Oreochromis niloticus: one gene and its partner. The protein of the gene in region 2 purifies or fractionates together with the protein of the main gene of each other region. This does not show direct contact. Links are inferred from orthologs where the notes say so. Each region holds a gene or a part of one and is shown on either strand. Other genes may lie near its edges.

Region 1 (7,120 bases), on a different chromosome or scaffold from region 2:
ACAAATCACATCTGTCAGGACTGATTACTATCTGCTCTGAGAGTGAGCTGTCTTTGCTGTGTGTGTGTGTGTGTGTGTGTTGATGAAAGTGTGTGTGTAAAGGCCTGTAGCGTGTGTGCAGGCTAAGGTGGCGTGCAGAGCCTGATATGTGCGTGCGGCGTTAAAGCAGCTAACAGAGTCGACTCGTGCAGTCTGTCGAGTTTATGGAGTCAAAATCTATAAATCAGTCACCATCACACGAAACCTGAAGCACCCGAAGCTACACAAAAACATCGCACACACACCAAAGAAAACAAAACAACCACAGCTATCTGTTTTTAAAAGAGCTGAAAAACAGCTTCTGCTACATCAATTCAGACTTAAATCTAACTAGCAAAGACATCGTAGCACAGCAGCTGACCGGAGGACCGGGTGAGGATCCAGTGCTTGTCGTGAAACCTCACACATATAAACGACATCACGAGCTCTGACATAAAAGCAGGAAGTCTCTTTCTTGACCCAATCAGCACACAGAATGATTCAAAGGAGAAAAACATGACTTTGAGTGGATGTGACGGATGTGACATGTAACACAGTCGTCGGTCACAGTTTCTGTGCATTTATACAGAGATACTAACTCTGTGTTTGGAAGCTGGCGAGAAAACACGATTCAGACATTGTCTTGATTTCATAAAGCTCCAAATGTCCAGCGACTAAACAGGCACCTAGGATGTATCCTGGTCCCCTTACCCCCTCCACTGCCCCCTTCCAGTGTGGAGGACGTGGGTCTACCCTGAACTTCTCCCAACAGGCCAAACTCCTCACAATCATTTTAATGCTGAGCCCAGATGCCATATCAGAGGAAGCTCATTTCCAGCCTCGTATCTGTGATCTGTTTTGGTCCAAAACCCACAGCTTGTGGTCACAGGTGACCGTGGAGGAGGGCACAGAAATGCAGGGATACCCACAGATATGCTTTCACACTCAGCTCTGCATCACTACATCAGTCCCTCTCCCCCTCCACCCTTTTCCAGCTGAGAAAAGTGTGGAGTTACAGTTACACCAGTCCGAGCTGGTGGTCGAGCCTCAATGAAGCCAACAGAACCACATCATAAGTAAAAAGCAGAGACATTGATCTTGAGCCCACCGAACCCTCCGCCAAGAAATTCATCAAGAAATAAAATCAGTTCAACCCTGGAGGGGGTCCGACACCCAGCATGACCAGTCTGCCTTGTGAACCAAAGTCTCGCTGCGGTTGTACAGACTGGACAGCGTCCACCAGGGGACACCCGACCTTTCTACCACTTTCACTGGTAGAAAGAGCCAGCCAACCCAACGCTGTCATTCTGTCATCCTGGCTCGAGCTGAACTAACAGTGACTTTTAAAGAGAGACAAAAGCACGTGAAGGAAAGCAGTGCGTTTAATCTATAAAACCCAGTCTATCTTGTTTTCAGTGCTTTGGGGCTCAAATTTTCACTGAAATTAAAACCTGCTTAACTGGCCTCTCTTACTCAATGCCATCAGGAGTTCAGGAGAATGCAGTAGCCATGATTTTCCAATCAGCCACAGTCCGCCTTAAATGAGCTCAGGCTCAGAGAAAGCACAAGCTACTGTGGATTATTTTACTGCTTATTTAACTTAAAATAAGTGAAATTTATTTTATAACTTTTCAGGAAATTACACTATGCAACATTTTCTTTATAATGGCATTTGTGCACTTTCATAAGGGAAACGACAACAGTAAGTGCCTCAGTGTTAGTTTGATATGGCGAACTGACATCAGGGTTGAAAGGTGGATGCTTAAAAGTGTAGGAGTGTGTGTGCATGTGTGTGTGTGCATGTGTGTGTTCCTTACAGCTATGACCACTGTGATATCAGCGAAGGAGTCCAGAGCAGGAGCAGCCAGAAGATCAGAGAACAGCAGAACCAGCTCCCTGTGAGAACACACATTCAATGTTATTTACAGATGTGTGCATCATTTAAGGTTCTACTGGCTCATCAGTGCCTGAAAACCTGCGTCACACTTGTCCTCCCTCATCAGATGTGCATAAATAAACCTTTCACATGTTTAAATTAACTTTCAGCTCTGGCTGTTTGCTGTGGTGTGACACTAACGGTGGCCTGTCCTCTGCACCGTTCACCTGCAGGTCTTGATCTGTTTGCTCCTCAGCTCCTCGCCTTCATCCTGCAGAGTCAGGGTGACGCAGACCAGCTGCTTTGGGTCGGGAAGACTGAGGAAATACAGGGACTGGTGGCCTCTGCTCATCCTGCACACAGCTGACACAGGGAAATGACCAGAGTCATAACGTGAATTCAAAGAGCCTCTGTGAGGTTCATAAGACACAACCAGACAAAATATACTTTAGATAAGCCTACAGCAGCTGATTCTCACTCCAAATATGACCAAACAGACACGTTTTAGGTTTCGAAATGACAGTTCTGTCAACTTAATGATCTATTAAGTCCTTTAATTTATATTTACTTGTCAAAAGTTCCTACACAGAAGAAAAATGCTCAGATAGCGTTTAGGCCAAAGAAAATTTTATAATCTACAAAAAACTGTTGGCTAAAAAAATTTAAGGGTAAGAGAAGAGGATATAATTATAATTTAAATAAATAATAATAAATAATAGCTTAATGTTGATCCATATTTATAGTTTGAGTTCAAATTACTTAAAATCATCTTTATAACCGCTTAAAGACTTACTGCAAACACAAAAAACACAATAATCATTTTTAAACGTTAAGCTAAAGTTTTAAAGTTTTAAAGTTGTCACATTGTTGTGCCTCTGACCTGAAAACTATAAAAGCTAATGCTATTGATAGGCTAGTAGCAGCTAACGCTAAGTTAGAGCTGTGCTTTTTTTTTTTAGCATTGTTTTAAAATTAAAGTTAATATCTCAGTCACTAACCTTGTTCTAATGCTTACACTACAACAAAATAAAACTTATCTTCTGCTGGGAATAGTTTTATTAGAAAGAAACATTTCAAAAAGCGTAAATACAACATATAAGGTTAGCAAAACTCTCTTTAACAGTAGTCGAAGATGAGTGAGAGAAGAAGAGGACTCTCACTCTTCTTCGTTTAGTGAAATAAATCGTTTCTATTGAAGATGGGGTGCAGTTTATATGTGTATGTTTACAAACTTCATATTAATAACTATTTAATAAAATGCATATTAAAGACTCCTTAGCAGAACAAGTGGAGCATGATGCCTGATTAATGTTTTGTCTGATTTAAACTTTTTTTTTTTTTGGCTGCATAGTGATGAGTTGTATTAATAGACGAACTTTGAGTTCGGGTTCGAGTGTTTTCCCGCCGCAGAGCCGCTCCAGTAACAGTCTAAATTTTCTACTCTGAATGCCAATTTATGACAACATTAACAAAGTTATGCAGGTCAAATGGGATTTGGGACTACAACCGGATGTCCGGCTGCCCGCTGAAACGCTCAGATTAGGAAAAAAATCTCAGTACGTGGGCTACGTGAGAAGACCCAACCCGTTGCGTGAGAAGTGAGTTTCCTTGACAGCCGTTGAACTCCAGCGAACTTTGCCCTCGTCCTCGCCTATAGCCTCACTGATGATTGGCACGGGAAGAGCCAATCACAGACGACCATTATCCTGGAGGAGGGAAGGAATAGCCAATAGCATATTAGGAGGGCGGTAGGGAGGGCGGTCTCCGCCAGTGTGTCAGGAACTTTGAGACATCATGAAGCAGCCTGTAATAACTACGACCACAACGGAAATTACAAAGCAGTATTTCATAATAAAAGCACAATGCAGCATAATAATAATAATAACGACATAAAGAAATAAAACGTATAGGTTTAGTACACCACCATATTTACATTGAAATATATAAGCTATACATATCAGGGCACTTATTTGAGGAATCATTTGAAGCATTATGTTACTTAACTTTTATTTTATTTTGTAAATAGGACATAAAACTGCATGTATAGCTTAAACATGTATAGGTTATGAAAATAAAATACTTCAACTTTTTGCTGATAACTGCCGAGCTATGCATTCTTTCTGAAGAAGTCCGTTATACTAACCGGAGGGGGCTTTTATTTTGGAGGCAGCAGCAGGAGGCGACACTGAGCTCAGGTAAATTCAGCAGCTGAGGTCTGCCCAGCGCTGGAAGTTAGTGTGGACTCTCTCTGGGTTAAATGTCGATGTGTTTTTGTGGACTCACCGTCTTGATACACTCCCTGGGATTATATAACCTCGGACAGGCTGCTCAGCCCTCAGAACTCGCTCCCACAGCGTCGCACAGATGGGTGAACAGAAGAAAAGCTCCGAGGGAGTGAAATACTACAGACTGGCAGAGATAGAGCAGCAGAACTCCTTCAAATCTACGTGGATCATCATCCACAACAAAGTCTACGATGTGACCAAGTTTCTGGAGGAGGTGAGCTGAGTGTCTGGGTGTTGAAGGTGGTGGGGGTGCAGAGGTATATGTGTCTGTGGAAATCAGCCAAAACAGGAAATGAGGAAACTAGACACCCTGCGCTGAGAGGGAGGAAAATCCAACCGAACCGCTTTTGAATGCATGTTTAGCAGCTTTTAATTTCACAGTACAGACCGGAGCCTTCTCAGTAGTGCAGGGGTCCCAGGAAGGGCCCCAGAGGAACCCCGACAAACTTAAACAATAAGTCAAAGGTCAGATGAGAAGTATCCAAATCAGTGCAGGTGTCTCAGTTATAACGGAGACGGGATTTGTTTGGGTTTTGTGGTTGTATGGAAGCCCAGAAATGCCAAAAGACTCTGGACATAGATGGATGGGATTATTGATTAGAAACTGAATGTCTGCGTTTTGTGGGACTGTCAGACTGAACGAGACTTTTAGATTCAATCCTGGATTTTTCATTTTTAAATGATCACGTTTTATTGTGATCCTCAACAGTTTCAATTTCTGATCAAAAAGGTTTTAGTGACAATAAATGATGGTATTGATCTTTGCATTGATCAAAAGCCTTTAAACTGGCCAGACACCAGCTTCACTGACCAATGTCTGTCTGTACCTAATGAAATGGTGTTTACTGCTGTTCGGGACATTTAGTGATGATTTCTTTGTTTCACTGGAACAAAAATGGGAATAAAACAGCAAAAAAGCATATTTCATAATAATAATAATAATGATAATAATAATAATAATGTAAAATGTAAAAATTAAATTAAAACATATTTTGGCAGATTTACTTTTTAAACATTGAACTGTAAATCTGAAAGGACTTTTTTCCAGTTGATCAATATATAAAATAAATCCTTCTGACGAAGGACGCTCAGCCAAATTCTAATATCGGCCTGATATCTGTATTTAAGCAAATTAAAAGGGCGTTAGCGATGTCAGCGGCTTATTTATCTGTCAGAGGTCGCATGAAAGAGTTTCAGTTTAGTTGCAGCCCCTGAGAAGTTATTGATTATCGTATTAAACCTGAGAAATAAAGCTATCCCTGCAAACCTGAGTGATTCCTCATTAAAGCCAAATATTAGCAGCTCAAGCTGCTCAGACCTGAGTGTTTCCTGTTTTTATGGTCCCCCTGACACCAAACTCATTGTGTGTGTTTCAGGCTGTTGGTTTTGTGATGCTGGGCACCAGTGATTGGTCAATAACCGTACTATAATGATCGTAGCATGTGCATGTTTATATGTCTGTATGTGACCTATTTCCTCCTTCACTGTTGGGCCAGTCTGAGTGAAACCATTCTTATCATCTATGTGTTTTTAAAAACGATTTATCACAAACACCAATACTTTTGATTTTCATATCCAACCCTCTGTTTCTGTTCGTTTCCTGTGTTTAGTGTTTGTCACTAAACTTTGTATCCACTGTGGAATTTTCTGTTCCGATTGTTGAGCTGACTGATTTTGATTAAGTTAAGGTGAAGTTACTCTGGGTACCTGCAACATTTAAATAAAAGTTTTAGACTCAAGTTTAGTAGTATTAGAGAGTATTAGAGTAGTATTAGAGAGTATTAGAGAGTATTAGAGTAGTATTAGAGAGTATTAGAGAGATGACCCTGTATGCAGCACATGGCAGCAGTGGGGAGGAAGAACTTCCTTTTAACAGGAAGAAACTTCCAACCGAAGCAGGCTCAGGGAGGTTTAGCCTCTTTGGCCCTAGAAAACATATGAATGAGTAAATGCGTCTGACTGCCTCTGATTGGTCTAGAAAAGGTGTGATGATTGATATAATGAAGTGCTCCACCTGGAGCCTGGTACCTGTCCGTCTGCGTGCAGGTTTATTGCAGGTTTAACGTGCTGCTCTGAAGCACAGAGCGATCTAAGGCCGTAAACATGGATCGCTTGAGTTTGCATGCAGCAAATGTGACTGCTGCACACACTGACCCCAAAGCGTCAGCCCCACGACCCTTCACCTCCACCTCCATTCAGTTTTACACCGTCCCTCTGCTTTCAGATATCGTCAGGCTTCAGTTTTCTGCTGATTCACTGGGATGAACTCTGTCACAGTTTGCTCTCTGGCTTTGTGCTGCAGACTCTGGTGAATCATTGGCAGGTTGCCGTGATGGAGCTAAAGGGGGGGGCAGGGTTTTATAACATGTGACTACACAAAGAGAGAACTCGCTCTGACTCACTTCAGATCTAAACCAGATTAAAAGTGTTTTCATTGTTAATTTAATCCTGGAGACGTCAGCATATGTGTGGAATTATTCAATTAAAGATGAACGGCAGGAAGTTTTTAATCCAAATCAGAAATATCCAGGAAACTGGATTCACTGGTTGAAGTGTTCACACCCGTTACATACAGATAATAAGCACTCGATAGCAGAGCTGATTGGAGTTGATGAGGTTAGCATCAGTTACATGCTGCACAGCTGTCCATGTTTGCTTTGCATGATGAAACAATGAGCATACCCCGGGTAGTCTCTCTTTTTTCTTTCTGTAGACTTATGAGGTTTTGTGGTCACATGACAGCTAGTCACATGATGTGAATGATTTGGACATGTAACAGTGTAGAGGCTAAAGGTCTAGGGACCAGTCTGCAACCATCTGCCAACCTCAGGTCACTGGGAGAAAATGATTATTCTCCAACTGGTTGGCCAAAGGGTGCTGGCAGACCTGAAGGCCAGACATTGACTGCCTGGAAACCACCGGTTGCTAGGGAAAAAATGTA
Region 2 (8,125 bases):
TGCTAGGAAAATTGGAAATACTATAGATACAAAACACATGCAAACATAAGTATATAAAGGCAAAAAACATGTTTGTATGAGTTTGAAAGTCAATATTTGCTGTAACTGCCTTCATTATTGAACACAGCATAAACTCTTTTAGTCAGCTTTCTTGTCATTCAGGTCTTCAGGAATTTCTCTCCAGGAAATTCAAAGCTGTTCTGGATGTTAGCTGATTTTTGTTCCATTCTCTATGAGAATGGAACTCACACTTCAATAATGTTGAGATTTGCTTTCCAAGGAGGCCAATCAGAATCCAAATCCTTTTATTGTCATTAAACATCAGACATTCAACGAATACAGAAGCAACTTCCTGTTAGCAGCATTTAGAATAAATCCATCCATCGCAAACACACAGAGACAGACAACCACTCGCACTCACATTCACACCTGAGGGCAATTTAGAGTCAATGATTAAATTCAGAACAAGTAACAGTAAAAACAAATATAAAAATACAAACGACATAAATGCAAAAAGTTTATACAGATGTCCAAGGTTGCTCTGAAGTATTTCACTGGTCTTGTGCGGTGGTGGTAACGTGTATGTTGTTGTGTGTATGCGTTGATGCATGAGAGAGATGTGTGTTTTGAAGTGGGGCGTGTGTGTGTGTGTGCATGTCTGTGCTCACTATACTGGCTTGCGGAAAGAAACTGTTCCTGAGTCTGGATGGACCTGTAGCGTCACCCTGAGGGCAGCAGGCCAAACAGGTGAGATGCAGGATGGGTGGAGTCTCTCATGATTGCCTCAGCAGAGCTGAGCCAGCGGGCTGTGTAGATGTCAGTGACTGACATGTATTTTGTTTCAGTGGTGAACCACACACTGCTGGCTGAAACGCTCCAAACTATGACAGAGTCTTCACTGTGTCTAACAGATGGCTGTAGACACTCACTGTTGTACTGCTCTCTCAACCTCCAGATATATATATATATATATAAAAAAAAATCATATCTGGATCCATTGCTCCATAAGACCTCCTGCCACTGATTTTCAGTCAAGTTCTTGTGTAATCTGCCTCTGACCTTTGTCCCAGTTTCCCTTCTTGAATAGTGGCTTCTTGACAACCAGCCTTTCATTGAGACCATTTCTGAATTCACCTGGTAGAAATGGCTTTTTAGGAATGACACTACTTTTGCCCAGTTTCCTCACATTTTTTTTTTTTTTAAGGACACTGCACACCTTGCTGAGGTGTACCAAGTCATCAGCTAATAGCTCTTTGGGAATCACCTTGTTGGTGCAAAAATACTTCTTTATGCCTGTCAGACTGTTATCTTTGGTATTTTTCAGAGAACTAAAGAAATGGGAACAAATGATATGTTTTTGTGAGGTTTTGTTTTTGTGATTGGTGCCCAAAGACACAATTTAAAATGGGTTCTTTGCCAAGTTGTTAATTAGTTATTGTTAATCTCTGGCGCAGCATGTCCTTGTCCTGTCTTCGTCCGCTCACCCCCAATCGATTGAGGCAGATGGCCGATCCTCCTGAATCCTGGTTCTGCTGGAGGTTTCTAAAGCACTTGCTCATAGGAGGGGATCATAGGACTTTTGGGGTTTCCTCTGTTTTCTTGTATTATTGTTGGGTCTGTCTGTACTTTACAATATAAAGAAGCTTGAGGCAACAATTTCTGTTATTTGGCGAAGAACTATCACTTTAACACCACTTTGAAAAAGTCTGACTCTCTGGAAACTAAAGAAAAAGAAGCAAGGAGTGGCTCAAGACTTTCACATAGTTCTGCACGAAATTTTAAAGAAAGAAAAAATGTAAATGGTTAACTGTCATGTTGCTGATGTGGAAGACTTCAGATTTTCACAGATCATACTTTATAAAAATGTTACAACCCTATGAAAGTGGATTTTCAGTGTCTTTCAGCAAAGCTTAATGACATTTTTCTAAAAATGCACTCCTAATCCTGTTCTGAGAATAAATCTAATAAACTAATTTAATTGTTCCACAAAACTGAAAAGCAACACAGCCCACTTTAGAGCAGCCCGATGGGTGGAGGCCGGAGGCTTCTCCTTTTTCTGAGATTGACGTCTTTGTAGACGATGCCTGACAACAATAAGTGAAAAAGACACAAGCTAAAAAAACCGAATAAAGCATCTGAGTGTGATTTCTTTTTTTCCCCTTTGGTTGTGTGCAGTGTGAGCACTCGAGGGGGTTGCTTTGCTTCAGATATGGCAGCTCAGAACAGCTGTGTCATTGCGGCTCCGCAAAAACTGCAGAAACACAGCGGAGCATCACGCCTCCTTACACATCAAAACACTGATAACGCCCCTCATCGATCCCACAACACTGTGCTCCCTGTTACAGCTCACTTCAGCCAAGAAACCAAACCAAACCACAAAGATTCACTGTCAGTACATTTTACCAGCTGCGACACACAAATTAACTCCTGAAAACTCTCAAGTGCCTGACCTAAAAACTTTACGCTCCTACCCGCACTCATTTCACATCTTCGCAATTTGCAGACCCTCCAGTGAGCTGATAAATTTGCATGTCTGTGTATCTGCTGGAACTAAATTCCATAAAACGAACTAGGTTCTGTCTATGTGCTGGAAAGTAATTAAACTTGTTTTTGGGTTTTTTTGTTTTTGTTTTTTTTTTTACATTAGCTAACTAGCATGCTAGCTAGTTTCCCCCCTGTTAGTTACGTTTTCTTTTAGAATTACTCAGCTGATTATTGAAGGTTCAGTTTTCTGGAAAACCGAGCATTCTGTTTTAATCTATTCCAAGCGCTTGTTTCCAAAAACAAGCCGTTTGTTTCGCGCCACTCGCTGAAGCTAACTGTTGGTTGCTGCTAGGAGCAGTTAGCCTCGGTAAGCTGGAGAGAATCGGGGTGCTGATCATTAGTGAACAGGTGGGACTCACCTTAACAAGCACCGCACACAGGGGAGGAGATGTGTCCGCACTGCACTTCCAGGAGCTTCAATTCTCCACTGACTCTACTGTTAGCTGCTAGTTTAGCCTCCTGCTGTAAACACTTCCGGGTATTTTAGTGCCAGCTCATCTTGAAATATGATTGGACACGGAGCCGGCGGGGCGGAAGCACGTGACCTATCGTTGCGTCACTTTATTGTTCTATATTAATCATTTAATGAATTTATAATTATTATCTTTCTGTACCTCACGCAATATTACATTTTTTGTTGAATGAAAAAAAACATGAGGCTAATTCCAGTTAATTCCTTTAGTGCAGGATATGCATGCAGCATACATTGCTTTTTAAAGTGATAATTAATTACATTGCAATTAATTTGAATATTTTTAAATTCACCATTTATTGTGTAAATTTTTATTTTAGTTTTTTTAGTACACATGACCCTCATAACAACATATTGTTGGAGGTGTATGCATATAAGCCATGAATTAATGAAATACTTCGTTCTGCGTGTAGTCTCTGCACATGATATTTTAATCTCTGAAAAAAATTTAACTTAAATTTAGACCAGCATGTTTTGTAGCATGTTACATTTTATTTGTATCAGATACGATATACATATAAAATATGTAGTAGACAGATTAAACGCTCATTTAATAAGTAGTTCCTTATTCTATCCAACAGAGGGAGACACTGTCCATAAAAATCAGGCCTGCTTCAAAACAACGACAAGCGCCTGCTCTCTGTTGTTCTATTTCCACAGGTAATTATTTACATGTGGAAGTTGTATTCAAAAAATATTTATTTAAATAATATAAATGCAAACAACTATGTCTGAAGTATATCAAATTCACATTAATTGTATTGTTTTTTTGTTTTCATTGGCCTGTGACTGGATAAAGACCTGCATTGGCATTTTTGCAGGGTCATATGGCTAAAATGTTTTCTCATAATCCTTACTAATCTTCCTTTATTCAAAATGAAAGTACTTTCATGTCATGAGGCCTAAATTACAGCTGACTTTAAAAAAAAAACAACTAAAAATAGGATGGAATAATTTAGAAATCATTAAAAGACAATATACACCTTTGAAAATACTGGACTTTATTGGGTTTTTTTTATTCTGACATGATCCTTCAGTCATCACAATGGTTTAAATGTTTGGGATATTACAGCTGCTTAACATTTTGTCATATTTCATAATGTAATAAATGTCTTCATTGGGTCTGGAGGACAGTCGGACCAGTTTAGAACATGCATTTTTGTTTTTTGTTATTTTACTAACATTCAGCATTAATGGCGCCTTCACAGAGGTGCATATTACCCATACCAAAGGAAAAATGGACTCTAATAAGCCATGTGGTCCCTCTCCTCTTTAACTTGGAGGACGTTGTATCCGTGATTATCAAAAGGATTTTAAAATATTGATTAGTCAGACCACAGGCCATGTTTTTAACTTCAGTCAATTAAAGAATCAGTCCCAGAAAAGGTAGGAATTTTTCTTAATTTTGTTTATATATTAGATTTTTTCACCTTTGCACTTCAGAGGGTCATTAATATGGCCCAAAAAATCACTGGACATCCTCGTCCCTTCCTGAAGGACCTGTCCAGCACTCGCTGTCTCAAGAGGGCACGCAGCATCCTATGGGATTGTGCACACCCAGGACACTAAGTTAAGTCACTGTGTTGTGTTGTGTTGTGTTGTGTTGTGTCGTGTTGTGTTGTGTCATGTTGTGTTGTGTTGTGATGTGTTGTGTTGTACGTAGTGCCGATGTGGGACAGTTTTCCAATTTCATTGTACTATTGTACTATGTATGACTGTGCAATGAAAATAAAGAATTATCTTATCTTATCTTAAAAAATAATCAATAAAATAAAAAAACAACAACACATAAACCTTGCTAGACATTTTTTTTGTACATGTGTTTCTGCATATGCTGCACTAAGATTTGACGTAATTATGCAGTTTTTTTTTATTTTACTAGTGGATGTGTGACTTGTTTGAGCAGCTTTGCCAGGTCCACATTATAAATGAAGATGTGCTCATAATAAATTCACTAATTAAATAATGCTTACATTGACTTGCTGTGCCCTCTTGTGGTACACATTGGTATTGCATGAAAGCTAGCCTGGGCCTGTTTTTAATTCAGATTCAGATCTATTCAACATTATACCAGACATTTGAGCCATGAAATGATATTAACTGGTTGTTACATTCTGTTGATATTTGTTTTTGGAAAGTTTTAAATTATCTTTTATTTTTAAATAGAAATTTACAAAAAGTACCTCTGTTGCTATACCAGCCAGTAGCTGTTGAGGGCAGCAAAGTGTGCGGTCACACACACACACACACACACACACACACACACAGAGTCTCAGACTCCATAAAAACAGAAAAACAAGACCACATGCACACACACTCACTCTGCTTCATAAAAATGTCAGCGCTCATAAAGACTGTTTATCTCCCTCTCTGTCTGTTTTTAGAATTTTCCACCACTCTCTCTTTTTCTTCTTCTTCTCGCTCTGGTTTTCTTCCCCCTCCCTCCTTCTCCTCCTCACCCCAGCTCAGACATCCTAAATCACACATTAAACTCTTTAAAAGGTTTCCTTCAGTCGTCGGGTGGAGTAGAAACACACAGAGGCAGCAGCATGCTTCATTGGATGATGGCTTTTTCTAAACAGCCAATTGAAACCCGACTGAAAGTGCAGTATTTTAAAAGTGGCTAAAGCGAGCGGATGAGTGATGGACAGATTAATAAGTCATTATAGTGAACACACACACAAAGGTTTGTGCTTATATCTTTGTGAGGACCTTTGTTGAACTCATGCACCATAGGAGTGGGGGTATTGATCATTTAGCCATCCATATCAGCCCCTTTTTACCCCTTCAGAGTGAATTTTAGCGTAACATCTTTCATAAGCAGGATAATTATTTTAAAACTAAAATGCAACAGTAATTTTAAACACTAGACACAGATTATGAAGCTAATGTGGTATGAAGTAGAATGAAGTAGAACTGTTAAACTGTTACTCCTTATCTGCAGCACTAGCCAGATACTGAAGTAACTTTACATTTGCACCAGAAAAACAGGATATGCTAAAAATGTAGGCAGCCATGGACTGTCATTATTGTGTTACTACTGAGCAAATAGCTTCATGTCACAGGAAGCAGTGCCAGCCTCACCCACAAAAAAAAAAAGAATTAATTTAACACTATTATGCATTTTCAGATTTACCTGTACTCACTCTGAAGGTGCAAGACCGCCAATGCAGATTACTCCAGCCCACTGTAAGCCCTCCCAGTTAGCGAGCGGTTGTTGGAGGTTGCTGGCTGTTGCAAGGTGACATCAGTAGCACAGAGTGTAATGCACCAAAAACCTCCCTATGATTGCTTTGGTCACTAGTTGCCCTTAGCTTATACCTTATACCACCTATTACTCTCAGAACTGCAGTGAAACTTGAGAAAATGTGACACAAATTGGAATCAGAAGTGATTAGCTTCAAACTAAAAGTTATTTCCTTTTGACCCTTTGAAGCCCACGGGAGCGCCGGCGATCCCATTTGCCACTATTTTTAATTCTCAGTAGAACTGCAGCCAAATAAGCTAGAGCAATTATTTTTTTGCATATGAAAACGGAGGAGTTGTACTGACATATCGTGCATTCAACATCAACAGCAGTCCATTGATGGCTCTGCAAAAATTGCATGAAGAGAATACGCAACAATAAAAACATTATAACCTAGAAACAGGCTTTGCTGATTTGATCTGTTCACAGCACTTCCTACATCATCTCGTTGACAGCAGGAACTATCACATGTTCACTGTTACATGCGAAGCTGAAAGTGACGTCATTTTGGTGGGAAATATATTTTTTCCCCTAAAAGGGCCTTTCAAAGGTTAACTGGTACTATTGAAAGTCATGTTTGACTTTGTGCCTTTCTGTATAGTTCCTGGGACACTTAGAACTTAAATTGTTGTAAATAGTTTCCTTTGATGCACATGTTGTTTTTTTTTGCACATTGTGCACAATAATATCTAAATTGGAATTTGTTGCAGTTTATGAAACTTAGTGCATCTCAAAAATGAAATTATGAAGTGACTCAACAGTTGTATTGATGTAAAGCAATTTGAAATGCTCAAAAAATGGCACCATATTATGTAAAAATGCATAACTTTAGATAGAGGTAAGAGTCTTGTCCTGTTTTGAACATGAAATAGAAAAACGTTTAAATATATGTGACCTAACTTGAAAGATGGCATCTTCTTTTTCTTTTGTTTATTTAAAGGTTATTAGCCTGTTTAGCATGTTGCTAAAGCAAAAGCAAAGCCTAACCATAAACCCTATTAGGGTTGTTACCAGGTGAACTGCACAAACTATAAATTACAATAAAGTCTCCGGCCTGATGGTGGAGATCGCTGAGAGGGCCAGTGTCCACATGGTGCTGTGTAATTCATTGATACACATCTGTTGATCACCTGCAGCACTCGTCATCTCCAGCTTTACCTGATCATACAGCCGTCTCAGTGGTTACATCAGGCTCATTTAGTTCTTCCTCTTGGTCTAGTTTCTTGGTATTCAGCTTGTCTCCTTTTCCAGGAAGCTATTGGTGTGCTCTCTCACAGCTCAGTTGGACTGTCTCAGCACCTGTTTGGAATTAATTGGACTTTCATTCAAAACCAGATCAGTTACCTGCTTCCTGCTCACTCACCTGTTAAATTTGCAGCCCTCTCTTCTCCACTTCTAAGAGGAGCCCTGAAATGATCTCTACAGCAAAATTTCTACATTGTTAATAAACCTTTAAGCTCTTCCTGTGGTCTGTGTCTGCACTTGGGTCCAGCGGTGGCTGCAGGAGCTGAACAGGTACTCCGGTATTTAAGTCCTGCAAGGTGCAAAGCTCTTACTGTCTCATCTCAGTCAAACTATAGCAACAACCTATCCAAACTGTTAACCCTGCAAGACTGCTGACAGGATTTACTGTTTCAGATACTAATGTTGTCTAAAGTTTAACAGATTTAGGACGTTGTGTACTGTAGGGGAGCTTACACCATTTTTTTCTCTTTGTAACTCTCAGCATGATGCATGAAATGGAAACAATATTAAGAAAGCAGTTGAAGATAATCTGGAACGATGCTTTAATGAAAGCAGAGTGAGGTTCAGCTGAATGGACTGAGATGTGTCCAGTTTCAGATGAGCTGAAGCCTTCAGCC

Evidence for each region. Proteins that work in one complex are often made in the same cells at the same time.
Region 1: the proteins of bcap31 (region 2) and cyb5a purify together in Homo sapiens (co-immunoprecipitation; 4 studies listed by BioGRID and IntAct, with this or other methods). This does not show direct contact. The link is inferred for Oreochromis niloticus from reciprocal best matches to the Homo sapiens genes BCAP31 and CYB5A.

The regions. Positions count from the first base shown.
Region 1 is NC_031974.2:99,043-106,162, reverse strand, and holds the start of cyb5a (cytochrome b5), read left to right. Parts: upstream 1-4,113; 5' UTR 4,114-4,258; coding exon 4,259-4,393; intron 4,394-7,120. Other genes in the region: lg9h18orf63 (uncharacterized protein C18orf63 homolog), read right to left, coding at 1,836-1,914, 2,122-2,246.
Region 2 is NC_031984.2:4,572,575-4,580,699, forward strand, and holds the start of bcap31 (B-cell receptor-associated protein 31), read right to left. Parts: upstream 3,061-8,125; 5' UTR 2,904-3,060; intron 1-2,903. UniProt on the Homo sapiens protein: Functions as a chaperone protein. Is one of the most abundant endoplasmic reticulum (ER) proteins.